Callithrix jacchus: one gene and its partners. The protein of the gene in region 3 purifies or fractionates together with the protein of the main gene of each other region. This does not show direct contact. Links are inferred from orthologs where the notes say so. Each region holds a gene or a part of one and is shown on either strand. Other genes may lie near its edges.

What was found.
Region 1: the proteins of AP3S1 (region 3) and AP3B1 fractionate together in Homo sapiens (co-fractionation; 5 studies listed by BioGRID and IntAct, counting the BioPlex papers as one, with this or other methods). This does not show direct contact. The link is inferred for Callithrix jacchus from reciprocal best matches to the Homo sapiens genes AP3S1 and AP3B1.
Region 2: the proteins of AP3S1 (region 3) and AP3M1 purify together in Homo sapiens (co-immunoprecipitation; 4 studies listed by BioGRID and IntAct, counting the BioPlex papers as one, with this or other methods). This does not show direct contact. The link is inferred for Callithrix jacchus from reciprocal best matches to the Homo sapiens genes AP3S1 and AP3M1.

The regions. Positions count from the first base shown.
Region 1 is NC_133503.1:132,937,809-132,944,128, reverse strand, and holds part of AP3B1 (AP-3 complex subunit beta-1), read right to left. Parts: intron 5,247-6,320; coding exon 5,075-5,246; intron 1,807-5,074; coding exon 1,659-1,806; intron 298-1,658; exon of another isoform or gene 162-297; intron 1-161. UniProt on the Homo sapiens protein: Subunit of non-clathrin- and clathrin-associated adaptor protein complex 3 (AP-3) that plays a role in protein sorting in the late-Golgi/trans-Golgi network (TGN) and/or endosomes.
Region 2 is NC_133513.1:56,079,302-56,085,621, reverse strand, and holds part of AP3M1 (AP-3 complex subunit mu-1), read right to left. Parts: intron 5,863-6,320; coding exon 5,777-5,862; intron 4,958-5,776; coding exon 4,824-4,957; intron 2,604-4,823; coding exon 2,396-2,603; exon of another isoform or gene 2,374-2,395; intron 804-2,373; coding exon 659-803; intron 197-658; coding exon 96-196; 3' UTR 1-95. UniProt on the Homo sapiens protein: Part of the AP-3 complex, an adaptor-related complex which is not clathrin-associated. The complex is associated with the Golgi region as well as more peripheral structures.
Region 3 is NC_133503.1:93,917,062-93,923,026, reverse strand, and holds the end of AP3S1 (AP-3 complex subunit sigma-1), read left to right. Parts: intron 1-2,227; coding exon 2,228-2,275; intron 2,276-3,497; coding exon 3,498-3,626; 3' UTR 3,627-4,216; downstream 4,217-5,965. UniProt on the Homo sapiens protein: Part of the AP-3 complex, an adaptor-related complex which is not clathrin-associated. The complex is associated with the Golgi region as well as more peripheral structures.

The DNA of each region.
Region 1 (6,320 bases), about 39 Mb from region 3:
ACAATGTACATGAAACCCAAATTTCTCAAAGGTCTTGGCTCATTGCAATAGTTTGAATTTTTTATACTGATGTTCTATAGGAAAATATTTTTAAATTATCAAGAGATTTAATCCGATCACTGAAAGTCTTTGACAAAGAAGAAACAAAAAGAATCACTGACCTGGAGTGCCACTGTGGCTTTTCTTTTCTTTTCTTTTTTTTTTTTTCCTCGGGGCGGGGCGGGGGGGCGAAGGGATACAATACAACATGATGTTCAACCACTGTGGCTTTTTAATGAGATCCTAAAGCTCTGCTTCTAATACTATAGAGGCACTGAAGTCTGTAATTTTTCAACTGTTTCAAAACTTCCCAAGAATAACTTCCACATCTTGACACTCAATGATTTTTTGTTCTGTCATTTTAAAAAACACTTCTTACTCTGGGTTGTATTTACTGTTGATTTGTAACTCTCTTTATTTTCAATAACATTTTAAACTTTCTGGTAATTTGATGTAAGTATGAAATGCAAGTACACCAAACTCACTATGTGATAAGTTTTTATATGAGGCCAGATTAATAAACCACAAAATCTCTTAAGATTTTATGTAAATTTTTTAAAAATAAAAATCTTAGGTTATTTGATATACAGATGCAAGTTTTAAATATAAATTCAAGTTTAAGATAGGTTTTAATATATGCAAGAAAATATGTGAAATAAGGCAAGACAAATACTAGCCAATTTTTAAAACATTCTTTAACAATAAATCTCTGGAAGGGGGAGGGCAATTGTTTACTTCAATAAATTAATTTTCATACTTGCTACTCAGATAACATACCAAAAAAATACAAGTTAATAGAACAAATAAACAAAAACAATATTGGATTAAGAAGAAATTAAACTGAATGAAAGGCAGGGTTTGAACATATTTTCAACAAACAGAATAACACAGTTATATATAAAACTACTAACCTTGAAATCTAGCATCAACAAGGTCCATTTTTAGGAAGGGGGTGATTATTAAAGACCAAAAAGATACTTATCATTAGGTCTGAATTCTATACTACTATTTCATTCTTTTAACTAGATGTGAAATCAGATAGGATAAATTTTATATTAATAAGTATAGTCTTGCAATATATATACTTTAATTTTTTTCCTGCTAAGCAGGCCAAGTTCAGTGTTACAAATGTTATCAAAAAGCACTATTATTTTATTATATAAGTAGTTCTTACATTTGTTTTTAAATAAATGGTTACTTCCAATTCTTACTATATAAAGAATGTATATACTTTAATTAAAGCTTTAAAACACAATTATGCAAAATGCCCAATATTTTAAAAGGCTTAATAGTCTCAATTTCTAATGATGTATGTACACTTACATTTCTTTGCTCAATACTATTTTTGTGACTTCCTTTCACTTCCCTTTCAGCAAAAACCCCCCTTGTCACAACCTAGCCAAGAACAAAAAAGCCCATATGCATAACATTGAGTTCCCTGATTTCAGTGGCTAAGGGTGAGTTTTTTTAAAGTTCCTAACTTTTCTGCAGAGTTGGGTTATAAGGGAGAGGCTTATCTAGAAAAAACAAAATCACAGGTGTAGATGACAATGGTGTTGTTTATTTTAGTTGCTATAAGAATATTTACTTTCAATGATAACAAATGTATAATCTCTTACCTTAGTGACTCTTCTGGATTCAGATTCACTTTCAGATTCTGACTCTGATTCAGAATCTGAAGAACTGTCTTCTATTGAACTAGATTCGGCACTGGAAGAATCTGAAGTTTTAGATTTTTCATTTTCCTTCTCCCCATCTTCAGCATCACTATATATAATAGTAAATTTTGAAATGTGAACTTTCTTTATATAAGTAGTTTATATAAAAGGTGGTTAAATTCTAGAATATATTAATAAGGTAATAATAAAGGTATTACTAGTAACCAAATTAATCAGAACCCATTCAAATTCAATTCTATCCTGTCATACACAAAATGACACTAAATAGTATCATCAAAAACAATGTAGAAAATATTAAATGTTTCATTTACCAAGAATTAAGTGCCAGTAGTAATAACTTCAAAGATATTTAGGCTGATTTTTTTTAAATGCTATCTCAAAATATTAGGTATGTATACATATCTACATACAGGGTCTCATTGTCACCTAGGCTGGAGTACACTGGTACGATCATGGCTCACTGCAGCCTCTACCTCCTGGGCTCAAGCAATTCTCCCACTTCAGCCTCCCAAGCAGTGGGGACTACAGGCATGTGCCACCACACTTAATTATATATTTTTTGTAGAGACACGGTCTCACTATGTTGCCTAGGCTGCTCTGGAACTCCTGGGCTCAAGTCATCCTCCCACCTCAGTCTCCCAAAATGTTGGGGTTTCAGGATTGATCCATCACACCTGGCTTAGTAATATATTTAATATTTATATATCTGCTTTTGCTAAAACGGACTTGTATTTTATACATTTTTCTGTCAAGGAAAATTACTGCACAAGTTCCCAAATGTGACCTTAAACATATGAGAAAATGTTAACCAGTTCAAAGCAAATTCTTCTAATGTACTGTCTTGCTAAAAATTTAAGCTAATCAAATATCAACTTTAAAAATACCAAATGATCATACCTAAGTGCTTAACACCATTCATTTGTTCACCTGCTCAACAAGTATTTATTAATTATTGACTACATGTTGGTATTATGTTAGGTGCTGAGGGTAGTAAGTCACAGAGGATCTCTGTGTGTCTACCCTATAGTCTTCAGTCCACTGGAGAATACAGATAAGGTGGCAGAGATAATATAGTATGATAAGTAATAAGTAATAAATTACAGTGTGTCAGAACAGTATTTGTAGAGACAACTAAAAAAACTTAATCCACTTAGGAATGCTTCCTTGAGAATGAGACATATAAGCCAAGATACAGGAATAAGGCCAGCAGATGGGCCAGGAAGCAGTTCTCCAAGGAGAAGGAATAACATGCGAGATGGCCATTAACACCCTTTTCTCAGGGGATGAGAGCTGCTTTGTGGTGTTTATATTTTCCTGGAAACTAAAGGTCTAGTTCTCTCTACCACATGTGTGTGTATTTTTTTAAGAATCTATTGTGGACCGGAAAGGGCTAGGTATTTCATACCAATCATACCGATTATCTAATTTAAATGCACTCTTCCTGGGTACATTATTATTCCATTTACAATAATGAAATTAATATTTAGAAAGGTTAAATAACCTGCTCAAAGACATATAACAGGAGGGGCAGAACTGGAACTCAAGTCTATCTCACACCAAAGTCTGTATTTTTTCCACTATGTCATACTATCTCCCTTCAAATGAAAATACCGTGGAGTGTAAAATTTAAATTTGGTAATAAATATTTATGATTACTAAATGGTGGTTTTTGAAGATGCTTAAAGCTTATTAAGAGCTTTAAAAAATTACCATGCTGACAAAGTTAAAAATAAATTCTAAGAGACAGGGAGAAAAATACAGGGAGAGGAAGAGTAGTGAGGCAAAGGAAGGATTGATATTTCCTAGAACTGATTTTTGTAGAGGAAATATGATTGCTGTTTATTAAAAATGGAACCATGGTAACATCTCAGAGCACATGTAATTATATTTGAAGACTGAAAAATATGTTGTTGTTTTTTCCTTGGCAAAAAACGGCAATTTATTATCCTCAATTCACTGGTTAAAATGTGTACTTAAAAATATAAGGTTCAGAATGTATTTGTAATTCTACTTGGTGAAGTAAACAATTCTTTTAATTCAAACATGGGTAAAGAGAAAAATCCATTTCTGAAGAAAAAAACTAATAAAACTAATGCATGACTACAAATTTCTAGCACACTGACTTTTGCTATCTGAAAAGACATTTCATGCACTGAACAAAACTTTCCCTTTCTAGAAACAAGACATGTTTTATAACTCATATCATCATAGATACTCTGATATTAAACCAGAAATACGGAATTTCTCTCAAAGACAAGGCTATTATAAAGCAAGTGGCTCCTTTGCTGCAACAAGTGAATGATTCTAAATATATTTAACTTCTGGCTTTTAAGATAAGATTTTAAAAGTAAAAGTGTTATTTTATTATGCATCACTCAATTTTGATGGTAATTATTGTTTACCTTACTGCTTAGAGTTTCAGATGTTAATCTAATGAAAAGAATTTACTGGTAACTAGGTTTTTAACTTTGCAATGATGAAAAGCCTGTATTAATTTAACCTACAGATTTCATTTGTTCTGAACAGGAAAAACAATATAAATCACTTTTAAAATCATTAAATCCTGACTTAAATTAATAAAGTCATAATTAGGGCATTATGCTGTGTTTGTTATGGAAGTGGCAGGGCGAGCTGCTTTAATTACTGTCTGTAATAAAAGGAGCAGAGAGCGTACTGCGCCCCAATCAGTGCTGTCAGCCACGACTGAGCCGAGCTGCAAGCTCATCAAGTGAGCGGGCAGTAGGCTCTCGCGGAAAGGACCATCATGTTGGCAGAGGCCACTCGCTGACAGCAGTGGGGAAAACAGAGTTGCACAATCCAAGATATTAGCCCCAATTACTCAAAATTTTAATGACATTTTAATACATGATAATGTTGTTGATAATGGGAGATCTTAAAAAGTGCTAACACTTAAATATCCTATGACCGTCTTCCTTCACAGCCCTTGACTCTAATATTTGAGTCATAATCTTTTTAATATAACATTATTTAGAAAAATCAATTGTCTTGGTTACATAATGGCAAAGTGTTGAAGGATTTAATTTTAGCCCTCAGCAAAATTGCTACAAAAGGTAATTAAGTGTTTCATACCTATTGCTTGATCACTTAACTCAGCCTTCCAAGGTTATACCAATTTTCAAAATGTAACCCCAAGATATGTTCAAGTTCAATATGAAAGCTAAGCATAAGTAGGAAAATAATGTGAACAACTAGCACTTTAATTCTAAAAGATTTAATATCTGTTTGGGAAAAAATACACACTTTTTTCCTCACTATTTTTGGACTAACAAGAACTATCTTGCTGGGGCACAATTTCAGAGTATTTCTTTGAAGGAAATTCTGACAAAATAAGTTACCTTTTTCCTTTGGTTTTTGAGTTCTTCTTGGCTGTTCTTTTGTTTTCTCGGCCTGAGTCCCTTCCACTTTCATTGCCCTGCTCACTGGAGGAGTCCTCACTGCTATCCTCACTGCTGTCTCCTTCCTCCCCACTTTGGCCTTGTTCTCCACTTTCACTTCCAGATTCACTCTCTGAAAAACAGAACCAGATGTTCTCAGATTTATAATCATTTAATTAAACACACGGACACCTGTAACTGTCAATATTCATCACAAGTAAAACCAGATGTTGAATTTTAGTTCAGTGGACATCACTTGTTCAATACTTTATTCCCACACCCCATTCTTTCAGCTCTACGTATTCCTTTAGCACAGTGAGCTTCGGGGGATGCAGACAGAGAGAGGATGCTCTGACAGAGTAGAGAAAAGCTAAGCAAAGGTGAACCAAATAAAACAAACTTGAGGGAATCCCACTTTTTAAACCCCAACATATCTAGTTATGTCAAAAAGTTTCTTTTAAAGAATTACTAAGGATTGATATAAGGCTAAAGAAATAACTTTGAATTCTTCTGCTTATAATGGGAAATTCTATTTAGATTAAAAGAAGGCAACAGTTGAATCTTAGGAACAAATTTTGAGAGGAAAATGAGCCATTCGAATCACCTGGAAAAACCTCCTAATTCAAAAGACAGTCAGCAAAATGACTAAAGAGTTACTACTTATTTGAACTAGTAAAGGAGTTTTCTACAGGTGAAAGAGATGATAAAGTTATATTGAGGAATTATACTTTTAAATGTTTTATGTATAGATTATGGTATAATATGACTCTTTGAAGAAGAAAATACATAAAAATATATGTATATTTTTAAAGTGAAGCATAATTGTTTACTATTTAAAATGACTATAACTACAGAGTCGTGTCCCAGAAAAAAGGACAAACTGTTGCCCTGCTTGTGATCTACGTAATGAAGCCCCCTTAGGCAGGAACATAACCTTTAATTAAAACATACAACATCATGAAGATCCATCACAGTGAAAAGCTAGGACTGCCTGTATTCTTTTAAGATGGCTTGCAAGGGGTACAAGCATGGGTTCTCAAGTTAGTGTTCAGATTCAAACCCTGGCTCTGCTACTTGCCACTTGTAAAACTGGGCAAATTACTCAACTTCTCTGGGTCTTGGTTTCCTTTTCAGCAAATGAAGATAATAATACTAGTTACTTTACAGAGCTGCTGTGAAGATTAAATGATTTGAAACATGTAAAGGT
Region 2 (6,320 bases), on a different chromosome or scaffold from region 3:
CTAGAATATGTATTCCCACCCACTTGGTATCTAATAGTAATACATTGTAATGACACTTGGAAGACAAACTGGTCTTGAGGAATTTTGGCCTCTTCTTATGTTCTCACTTGGAACTTTCCAGCTTTCGTGACGTATTTGACTCCTTTAAATGGCTTATATTTCTCCCCATACATGTCCAAACGGTTTACTTTTAAGCCTGTGTCAAAAAGAGTGAAAAAGAATAAATTATCATGATCTCAACCAATATAATGTTAGCAATGAGCATGGTAAATCTGACATTAACCAGTGTCCCTTCTACCATTTGGAAGAAACATCTCTTTTACCATTTACAAATTATTGCACTTGATGGGATGGTTTTGGTTAAGCATACCACATAGGCAGGGAATGTCTGTGAAGTATAACTCTACTTTCTGTAAATATGAACAACTCCCTCTTTGGTGCTTGAATGAGGGCAGAGGTAAGGGGAGGCTGTGTGAAACAAGGCGCTCTCCAAAATCATTTGGTTGGTGCCTGAGAGACTGGTCTCCCAAGCACAGTGCAAAAGGCAAATGGGCTGTTGCTCTTTCTAGAGTGGGAAATTTTGTTACCCTTTTAAGTGCCTAATAATTGAGCTTGTAAAACTCAATTACCCTTAACTACAAGTGAGCCTTACTCTTACCTGAAATAGCAAGCTGCTGGATCTTAAACTGTATGTTGAGGCTCGGATTCTCTTCTGGTTTGGGGGCTCCAGACTGTAAATTTACCAGTCCTTTAAGACTTGGGAGCTTCTGTGGAGTAATTTTTCCCACATCCCATGTTAGTACCTTGGAAAGACAAAAAAAATGATGAACGAATGGAACTATCTATTAAAGACAAACCCTCAAAAAGAAGGTTTAAAGACACCATAAACTTCTGTACAAAATGAAGTGCAGTCTATTGAAAACAAGGTATCTGGGATCTACAATGAGTTTACTTCTGATTAGCTCTGTGACTTTGAATGGGAAGTGAGAGCAGAGAATCCACATTTGTTGAGCATTTTCTTTTGTATTAGCACTGTGCTTAGCACTATTCATATGTTGTCTCATTGAGGGCTGTGAAGTAGCTTTTGTCTTCTATTTACAAATGAGGAAATTAAGGGTCAGAGATCAAATGACTTGCTCAAAGCCACAGAGCTAGTCAGAGGAAAGGCTGGGATTTGCACCTAAGACCCTCTGATTTCAAATGTTCTCCATCATACCATCTTTACTACTTTTCTCTGGGCCTGTTAATTTTTCTGTAAAATCATTAGATTGACTTGAGATGGTGTTTTAAAAACTTTAGCTGTGCAACCCATTGTTCAAATGAAATCTTTAGTGTGGAGGCTCAACAGCAAATGAGAAAAAAGCAAAGCTGTCATAGTTGAAGCTGCGGTAAAGGGCCAGGAAACTGAAACTTTCCTTCTCAGCCCTGTGTGGTGTCCAGGAGGAGGTCCTTTGAATCCTTGCAACCACATTAAATAATCTTTAACATTCTATGACATTATTCAAAAAATGTGTCTTTTCATTTATCAGGCACCGCAATGACTCTGGTATTGAAAACAATCATATTTACTACCTAAGCAGGAAGCTGGGAGAAAATAATCTGCTACAGTTTCTCTAAAAACCCTCTGCTATAGGAAAATGTAAGTAAGGTGAGCATCTTTCCTAGCCCCAAGAAAGAGTATGAAGTGATGCTTTTAAATTAAAAAGAAAAAGGTCTTAATGATCAATTTACATAGAAAACTTAATAATTCATAGACCATAATTCTTTTATCTACATAATGTTTTCTCTTTTTAAAAAAGCTTTTACTGGCTGGGTGAGGTGGCTCACGCATGTAATCCCATTACTTTGGGAGGCCGAGGTGGGCAGTCAGGAGGTCGAGACCAGGCTGACCAACATGGTGAAACCCTGTCTCTACTAAAAATACAAAAAAATTAGCTGGGCGTGGTGGTGCTTGCCTGTAATCCCAGCTACTCAAGAGGCTTTGTGGTAGGAGAATCACTTGAACGTGGGAAGCGGAAGTTGCAGTGAGCTAAGATCACGCTATTGCACTCCAGCCTGGGCAATAAGAGCAAGACTCTTGTCTCAAAAAAAAAAAACAAAACAAAAAAAACTTTTACTTCTTTCTTATTAGATAGCAGAATGAGGCTCTGGATTAATAATGGATGAGTGAAGACACACTCTGAAAAAGGACAGAACAACTCGCTTTTCTGTTCATCTACTTGGTGCAGGATTCCCTTTGTAGCCAGTGGCAGAAGCACAGTACAGTATGCTCTCCAGGTTTTGATACAAACTTTAGTTTTAAACAAGGTGCTAAACCTTTCCCCCCACCCCTCCCCCCAAATCACAAAATAGATTGCAGAAACACTTGCTCACTCTTGATTTGAAGTGGCTGTACCTTGGTGACTGGATCAAATGTATAGCTGCCTTGTGTGGGTGTCAGGTTCATGTTCAGCACAACTTTTGGCATGTGAACTGTCACTGTAATTCCTTCAATAGTTTTCCCCATATTCTGCTTTGGTCCAATTGTTATATCAAATCTGCCACAAGAACTGTTCTCCTTAAAGCTGATACTATGTTTCACATACACTGGTATTGCCACTAGACTAAAAAGAGAAACAGAGAAAGACACAAAAGCACAAATACAATTAATGGTGTGGGGACAGCTCCAGAGGTATCCTGAAAACCTCTGTACAGAGTATCCTATCCTCCCTTTAACTCCACAGTAAGGCTCTTCAGAGTTGGCTCTCTGAAGCCACAGTTCTGCATCCTTGAATTTGACCAGCTAAGAACTGAAAATATCACTTTAAAAAATCAGCCAGGCATGGTGACTCACACCCGTAATCCCAGCACTTTGGGAGGCCAAGACGGCAGGAATAACCTGAGGTCAGGAGTTTGAAAGTAGCCTGGCCAACATGGTGAAACCTTATCTCTACAAAAATACAAATATTACCCGGGGCCAGGTGTGGTGCCCCTGCAATCTCAGTACTTTGGAAGGCCTAGGTGAGTGGATCACCTGAGGTCAGGAGTTTGAGACCAGCCTGGCTAACATGGTGAAACCCCGTCTCTACTAAAAATACAAAAATTAGCTGGGCAGGGTGGCACGTGCCTATAGTTCCAGCTAATTGGGAGGCTGAGGCAGGAGAATCACTTGAACCTAGGAGGCGGAGGTTGCAGTGAGCTGTGATCAAGCCATTGCACTCCAGCCTCAGCAACAAGAGCAAAACTCCATCTCAAAAAAAAAAAAAAAAAATTAGCCGGGAGTGGTTGTGAGTGCCTGTAATCGCAGATACTTGGGAGGCTGAGGCAGGAGAACTGCTTGAACCCAGGAGGTGGAGGGTGCTGTGAGCTGACTGAGCCACTGCATTCCAGCCTGAGCGACAATAGTGAAACTGCATCTCAAAAAAAGCCCCCCAAAACAAGAAACAATTGGGGCAAATGGTCCTAGTTTAAAAAATGAATTACAATTCAATGGAAAAATAGTGTAAAATACATATATATGTGTGTGTGTGTATTTTTTTTTGAGACAAAGTCTCACCCTGTCACCCAGGCTGGAGTACAATGGCGTGATCTTGGCTCACTGCAAGCTCTGCCTTCTGGGTTGAAGCAATTCTCCTGAGTCAGCCTCCAGAGTAGTGGGGATTACAGGCACCTGCCACCACGCCCAGCTAATTTTTGTATTTTTAGTAGAGATGGGGTTTCACCATGTTGGCCAGGCTGATTTCAAACTCCTGACCCCAGGTGATCTGCCCACCTCGGCCTCCGAAAGTGATGGGATTACAGGTGTGAGCCATTCACTGTGCCTGGCCTAAAATATGTTTTATATAATTGAAACAGTTCCTATGTCATAAGAGCTAAGAAATGATTTCTCTGCTTTTGAATCTTGTCATGATGTAAATCAAATAATTTCTGGTATTTTCAAGAAACAAACTAGCTATAACTATGACCCTCAATGCTAAGTGGTTTTTCTTTTTGAGATGGAGTTTCACCCTGTTGGTCAGGCTGGAATGCAGTGGCATGATATGTCACTGCAACCTCTGCCTCCCAGGTTCAAGTGATTCTCATGTCTCAGCCTCCCAAGTTGTTGAGATTGTAGGCATATGCTACCACTCCTTACTAATTTTATATTTTTAGTAGAGACGGGGTTTCACCATGTTGACCAGACTGGTCTAGAACTCCTGACCTCAAGTGATCTGCCCACCTTGGCCTTCCAAAGTGTTGGGATTACAGGAGTAAACCACAGCTCCCAGCCCCCAATGCTAAACAGTTCCTTTAAAACTCAATGCAGAGAAGAGTGACTTGAGGCAGTAAGTTGGGGAATGTCCTTATGAGCTACAGGTAGGTCTGTCTCCTTCTGTTAGCTACAAAGTCTACAGACCATGGTAAGATTACGGCAATGGTTCATGGTTTTGCCCAGGTTATGCATGGTCCATTTTGCTTTACTTGCAAAGTACTCAGCTGTCACAAACAGGGAGCAAAATGGACCACGCATAACCTGAGCAAAGAACCAGTGCCATAATTTGACCGCCCATAACCTTGCAAAGAACTGGTACCATAACCTTTTCCCCAGGTTATATACAGTCTGCTTGCTCTTAGCTATAGGTTTTACTCTAGTCTCACTTAGTACCACTCTAAACTCATACATTCAAAGTATACTGATTATTTTAGGTGTGTATTTTTGCCAGTTCTCACTGGGTTTCCTGGTGAGCCATGGTTAAAGTGAGCAGTGATGACCTCAAGGATTCAACTGTCAGAAAGAAACAGGGACAGGTGAGTTCTGCTTGATATGTATGATGGCAGATTCCGGCTGATGCATCTGAACATACTTTTGTGAGCTGACACGGTATGATATGAGTCTGAAATTTCCATCTGGAGGAATAAATGACAAAACTCTTTCAGATTCCCAACGCTTGAACCGGATGCAGGGGTGGAAGCTGACATCATCCAGAAGCCTAGGGTTCTGCCAGCAAAACAGAAGACAGTCGTGTTCATATAGTATAATAAATATGTTAACTCTACTCAGATATCTTGACAAATTAATATATTTCCTGAAAATAAAGCAGTCATGGAAGAGTTTATGACCACATCAACATAACTTTACAGTGTCACAATGCTTTAAAGTTTATAAATATTTTATGTAAATTAATTTATTTGAATTTCAATAGCCATAAAGAAGAAAAGGCAAGTAGTATTATTTCCCTTTAACAGATTAAAAAAAACTGAGGTCCAGCCGGGCACGGTGGCTCACGCCTGTAATCCCAGCACTTTGGGAGGCTGAGGCGGGCGGATCACCCGAGGTCAGGAGTTCAAGACCAGCCTGACCTACATGGAGAAACCCTGTCTCTATAAAAAACAAACAAACAAACAAAACCGAGGTTCAGAGGACTTAAGGTCAGGACAAACTGGTGACAATACCAGAAGTCAGTTCTCTTAATTGTTCCTAGCAGTATGTTATGCGGACTCTACAATGATACAAAAGACCAATGCCCTTTCATATCAGCAAAGCAAGTAATTATTCAGTAAAAATGATGTTGGTGTTTTGCAGAAGCCAGCCAATTTTAAGCGCTTCCTAGCACACTCAGGCAAAGACTTCCCTTAGCCTTTCCATAAAGACCAGGCTCATCGTGTACGCGATTGTCTTAGGAAACTCTGCTAGAAATATTTTTCAGATAATCCTTTGCAATCTAAGATGCAAACTTATCTCAATTTTATCATTTCATTTAGTACTTCACATGTATTAGGCATGCAAGGGGCTATAAAACAGGAGAATAAAACTTACCATGAAAGAAAGGGAGAGATCAGGCATTCCAGATAGTTTAATGCAAGCATCAATGACCCCCTGAATTTCTGCAAAGACTGTAGATCCTGAAGAAAAAAAAAGGGAGACAACATCAATAGAATCTCAGTCTTAACTAGAGCTTTCACTGTATCTTTTTATTTTTATTTATTTATTGTTTTTAGAGACAGAGTCTTGCTCTGTTGCCAAGGTGGGAGTGCAGTTGCATGATCATAGCTCACTGCAGCCTCAAACTCCTGGGCTCAAGTAATCCTCCTGTGCTAGCCTCCCGAACAGCTGGGAATATAGGTGTGCCACCACACCTAGCCCACACAAACACTGTATCTAGAATAATGGAGATACCCCCTGAGTATCAGACATACTGAAGCTTTATATCTATCTCTATTAAAACAGGTCAGGGAACAAGGTCCATACCTAACTCTAGTTGGAATACGGTAATTCATTCATTCATTTTTCTTTTTTAAGAGTTGAGATCTCACTAGCTAGTCCCAGCTGGCCCCCAGAATAACTGGGACTACAGGTGTGC
Region 3 (5,965 bases):
AACCCCCAGTGGATGCCTGAAACTGTAGATACTACTGAACCTTATATATTCTATGTTTTTTCCTATACATATATACATACAATAAAATTTAATTTATAAAATAGGTACAGTAAGAGTTTAACAACTAATAATAATACAGAACAGTTATAACAATATAATGTAATACAAGTTGTGTGAGGCCAGGTATGCTGGCTCACACCTATAATCCCAATACTTTAAGGGGCCAAGGCAGGAGAATCACTTGAGGCCAGGAGTTTGAGCCAGTCTGGGCAACACAGTGAGACCCCATGTCTACAAAAAGATATGTGTATTTTTTACATTAGCTGGGCCTACTGGGACACACTTGTAGTTCTAGCTATTCAGGAGACAGGTGAGAAGATCACTTGAGCCCAGGAGTTCAAGGCTGCAGTTAGCCATGGTCGCATTACTCACTCCAGCCTCAGGGACAGAGTGAGACCCTGTCTCTTAAAGAAAAAAAAAGATTATGTGGATGTAGCCCCTCTCTATCACAATACTGTACTGTACCACCTATTTTCAGACCACATTTAACATTTGACCATGGATAAATGAAACCATGGAAAGCGAAACTGCAGATAAGGGGGACTACTACTGCTAACAAGTCAGGTAGACTTAATTTCTGTAAGTTTTAACATTGAAAAGTTATTTTGTTGCTTTGAGTGTATCTTACTGGAAAAAAGAAGTCTTAACTAAGATGAAAATTGCTTCATACCTCTGTGTCAGCAAACTAATTTTCTAATGAAAATTTACTTTACATTTTATGTTTTAATGAAAAATGTTTCAGACATTGCTTTCATGAAAGTCTGAAAATGAAATTTGTTTTATAGCCATTCTGGTGTTGACTGAGTGACATAAACTCTTTTTTTAGCCCTTAATTTTTATATATAAACATTGCTAGCTAGTTTAAGCATCTACTTATTGTCCTTATCATATTTTCTTCACATTTTATATTTTGCATAATATAATTTCTTTTTAAAATGTTAGTTTAATTAAAACTTAAAGTGCATATTATAATTTTAAATTTTCCTACCATTTAAATTTATGGCATAGTACACAAAAGTATTGAACATGCTTGAGAAATAATTTGATTCTTCGAATTCATTTGCGTGTTCTAAATAGTTCCCATCCTTTGCATGTCTATGGCTTGCTGCTTATGTTTAGAAGAATTGTAGTTTGTTGTACTTAGAAACTTCTTTGGTTTTACCTACTAAGCACAAATATGCTATTTAAATCAATTGCTATATTGATTTTATGTATTCTCGTTAGCAGCCAACAGTCGACACCAAAGATAAAACTCAGTCTAATGAAAGTTAACAGGAAAAGTTGTTTTTTTTTTGCTTTAGTTTAGCTGTTCATGGTACAGGATATTATGGAAAAGAGAGCTTTACTAACATTTAATACTAAAAAATTATGTTTACTAAATATAGGTGTAAACCATAGTATCTAATAAATACACAGATACACACACACACAGTTTCTCTTACAATAATAAAATAATTTAATAATTTATGCTTTTTAAAATATTTATACTCATATTTGGTCAATACTTTTCTATAGTCAATTCATCATTTGTCTTTTTTATAGAAATTTTGAAAGTAAAGATAGTGGCAAATTGGTCTTTTAACTAGAAAAATTACAGAATCCTTCTATCTAAAAAATGATACTGCCTTCAGAACGTCTGCAATTTTGTAAATTTTTCTTCCTTAGCAGATAGCATACTTCCTGGTAAAAGAAAGCCAAAAGATGGTAAACCTCTTTGAAATGGATTCTTCTTTGATCATAACACATCTTAAATTTTGGTAGCTAGACCTTTAACTTGAAATGATCAAATTAAAGACCCTTTTGAATATGATACATGCTACCTTAATTATTATTTAGTTGTGTATCCAACATCTTTTGGAGGAGCAGCAGGGATGGGGGGATAAAAACTTCATTGCCTCAGGTAGGTATTAAGTATAGAGGTCAATCACATTTTTAGTTGTACATCAAGAATGACTAGCATCTATTAAATTATAAAAATTAAATTTTCCAGCCCTATTTAGTATTAATTGGGTAGGTAGTTCTTCATTTGTATCACCCTTATCGTTGCCTGTGTAGAATATACTTACTATTAATACTATTCTACTAATTTTTCTATTATTTCCAATTCTGAATTGATAATCCATGGTTTTTGTTTCATTGCTTAACAATGTTTGTATCCTTTATTTAGCAAATAGTTTACACTGGCCTATTTTGTATCAGTCAAGATTTTTCTCAGGTAACAGCTTTATTATTATTTTTATTTTAATGAACAAAGGTAGGATTACATAAGAAAAGAAAACTAAACTTATGAAAAGGGACCTTAAAGCTAGTGTTTCTAATTTTATGGACATTGCCTTATATATAATCTAATCAAAGTGGAAGATTTATTTTTGTTGCTTGTCTATTTTTATACAAAATGATGCCCCTAAACTCAACGTCTTTGTTGGCTTTGTTTTATTATATAGCCTAAATAAAAATTAATGAAATCTAATTGGTATATAAATTAAACCTTAAATATGAAGGCTGTTAATGTAGGTGAGAAAAATGATATATATGCATTTTTCTTTTATTTTTAAGCATATTTTCTTTTAAAATTATTTCACAAATTATAAATGTTCCTACTAACAAGAAAGCCAAATATTATGTACTAGTGGTACTTACTGGAAATTTTAGAATTCATTTATTTATATTTACTACCTCTTGCATTTATGCTCTTCTTTCTCTAAATTTGTGCACTGTAAGCTGAGTATATGTTGCTGAATCTACGCTGTATGACAAAACATTTTTAATCATATTTTTATTAATGCATCAAAGGGTTGGAATGATCCTCTTTGTGTAGTTTCATCTGTAGGCATAACTATCTTTGGATTGAGGCTTTACTTGAAAGCCTATTTTTTGAATGTTCTAGAACTTTCTTAGAAAAGTTTAAAAGAGCCCTCACAATTTTAAAAACTAATTTTATTGTTTTAAATTGTTTTAAGGGTTTATCCCTAAGTAAAGAAATTAAACAAGCATGATCTATTACTTGCAATTTTTATTTCACAGCACATATTGATAATAAATGCCATTTTAAAGCAAAAGAAAATCTATCATGATCGTTGCAAGAGATCTTTATTAAGGAAACTAATGTAAATCATGCTATATTTCAGTTAAATCAAGATATAGGTAAAGATTTAGGGTTTACCATGTGAATATTGTGTGGTAGTGCACATTAATTTGTATTGAAATCTTTACATTGTTACCATTGCATGTGTTCACTGTATTTTCTAATGTGTCACTGTTTTCTCTTTATAAATAAGTATTTGAAAGTAACCATTCCATACCAATTCAAACTACCATCTGGTCTCTAAGCTTGTTATATGAAAATCTTTTATCATTGTCTTTCATTGTAAGTGTTTTATGATGAGCTACACCTGAGTTGTACATTTTCTTTTTCTTTTATTTGCTTCTGTATACAGGCTGGCTTAGCGGGAGCTCCAGCCCGTGCTGTATCAGCTGTAAAGAATATGAATCTTCCTGAGATCCCAAGAAATATTAACATTGGTGACATCAGTATAAAAGTGCCAAACCTACCCTCTTTTAAATAAAAATTTTTAAAGGCTACTCCCAGGTAAAATCCAGGGGGGAAAGTCGTCTAAGTTTACCATGCAGTTGTTTACCAAAAATAGAGGAGGAGAATCTTAACTTTTGCTCTTGGATTTAAGTCAAGATACTGTACAGAAGTTGTGTAAAATCAGTATGAAAGTTCAATGTTGCTTTTCTTGCTCAGTGATTTTAAGGAAATTGAGTAGTTCCTATGTGATTTTTTTTTTCTTTTCTAAACTGCATTCCTGTGTCCACCTACGGCATGCCTCTATGTATCGGCTACTACAGTGTTTTAAAAAGTGTTTCAGATATTTCTTTAATTATGTACAACCTAAAACGTTGGTGTTTTGTATGGATCACAAGTGCAGCATTCCTTAATTCCTTCTGCTATTTGTCACACAATTGTTATTTAAAGAACCAAGTGTGTATTGCATGAAAACATTATGACTTTTTTCTCTTAGTTTAAATAAACTCCAAGGTAACTGGACTTCTAAAGCACCCTTCTGTTTGCCTGATATCTACTTTAGCAATAATTTTTTTTACAACCCTCTGACTCCACAAAGTAAATAAAAGTATATTTTATCACTGTTAAGCAGCTGTTAATGTCGATTTATTTTATACTCATGTTTTTAATATTCAGAAACTCAGCAAATTATTCTAAAACTCAGTTATTTCACAAATGAAGAGCAGTCTATCTCATAGCATATTGTGCAAGGTGAGATCTGGAGTAGGAGGTAACAATCTTTCTAAAATGTATATTGAGTCCAGGCGTGGTGGCTCACACCTATAATCCCCGCACTTTGGGAGGACAAGGCGGGCGGATCACCTGAGGTCGGGAGTTTGAGACCAGCCTGACCAACATGGAGAAACCTCGTCTCTACTAAAAATACAAAATTTACAACGTTGGCCAGGCGTGGTAGTGCATGCCTATATTCCCAGCTACTCAGGAGGCTGAGGCAGGAGATTCGTTTGAACCCAGGAGGCAGAGGTCGCAGTCAGCTGAGATCATGCCATTGTGCTCCAGCCTGGGCAACAAGAGTAAAACTCCATCTCAAAAAAAAAAAAAAAATGTATATTGAGAAAATGTAAAATCTTTTTTTTTTTTTTGAGACAGAGTCTCGCTCTGTTACCAGCACCAGGCTGGAGTGCAGTGGTGCAGTCGCTGCTCACTGCAACCTCTGCCTCCCAGGTTCAACCAATTCTCCTGCCTCAGCCTCCCATGTAGCTGGGACTACAGGTGCGCACCACCATGCCCAGTTAATTTTTGTATTTTTAGTAGAGACAGGGTTTCACCATGTTGGCCAGGATGGTCTCGATCTCTCGACCTCGTGATCTGCCCGCCTCGGCCTCCCAAAGTGCTAGGATTATAGGCGTTAGCCACGGCGCCCGGCTGTAAAATCTTTTTTATACAAATGGCTTTAAGCCTTGCCTCCTGTTCTTTCTTGCCCATATGATGAAAAACAATTTCAGCAAATACCTAATTGATTTTGAATAGAAAAACCCTTGGGGCTCAACTTTTCTGTTTTATCCTCAAGCAAAGTTAAACTAATATTTTCTCAAGTCCTAACACTCACATATTCTGGTTTCTCATAATTGGCCCATATTTTATTTGGCCTTCCAGTGAGTAAGGTTACTTTTTCAGGTAGACTAAGGTTTTCCTTACATTTCTAGTTCTCCTTCCTCAAATGTTCTCTTTGAATCACTTCCATAGATTTGCAGCATGTATGAATTTTACCTCAAGAACCCTGAGATATAAGAAAAGTTATTTTATTTTTTTCTAAATAAAATTAATCTGTCTCCAAGCTCCGCATTGTGTTAAGATAACAGGAAATTTAATCTGTGATTATTGGGATTTCTATCAGCTCAAGGATATGCAAACGTCCTAAAGAAAGGTTATGCAAAGTATAGCATTTCAGGAGGTCCTAGGTCTTAATCATTTGACAAATGTTTATTAAGTGCCTACTGTGCCCCCCAATTAGTCCCTGTCTTCATGGAATGATATAAGTAAGAGTGCCTAGTAGTGCTCCCCTACCAGTCCACCCTTTTTCTTTTCGCTTTGTTTTTGCGAAACAAATTATGGGAAGGTTAAGTGGTTAGTATATGCCAAAATGAGGGAAACCTCTGGGCCAGACACCGTATTTTATCTTCAAGAAACAGTCAAAAGTGTTTTATCTCTCATTATATTCTTTCACATACAATGCCCAAACAACCTACCATCCTTCCTCCCCTTCCATTCTCTCATCTCCCACTTCCACTTTCTTTCCTGCAGAAAGTACTTACTGAGCATTAGCTACATGCCAGGCATTGTTCTAGGTACTAGGATAGAGCAGGGAACAAACTA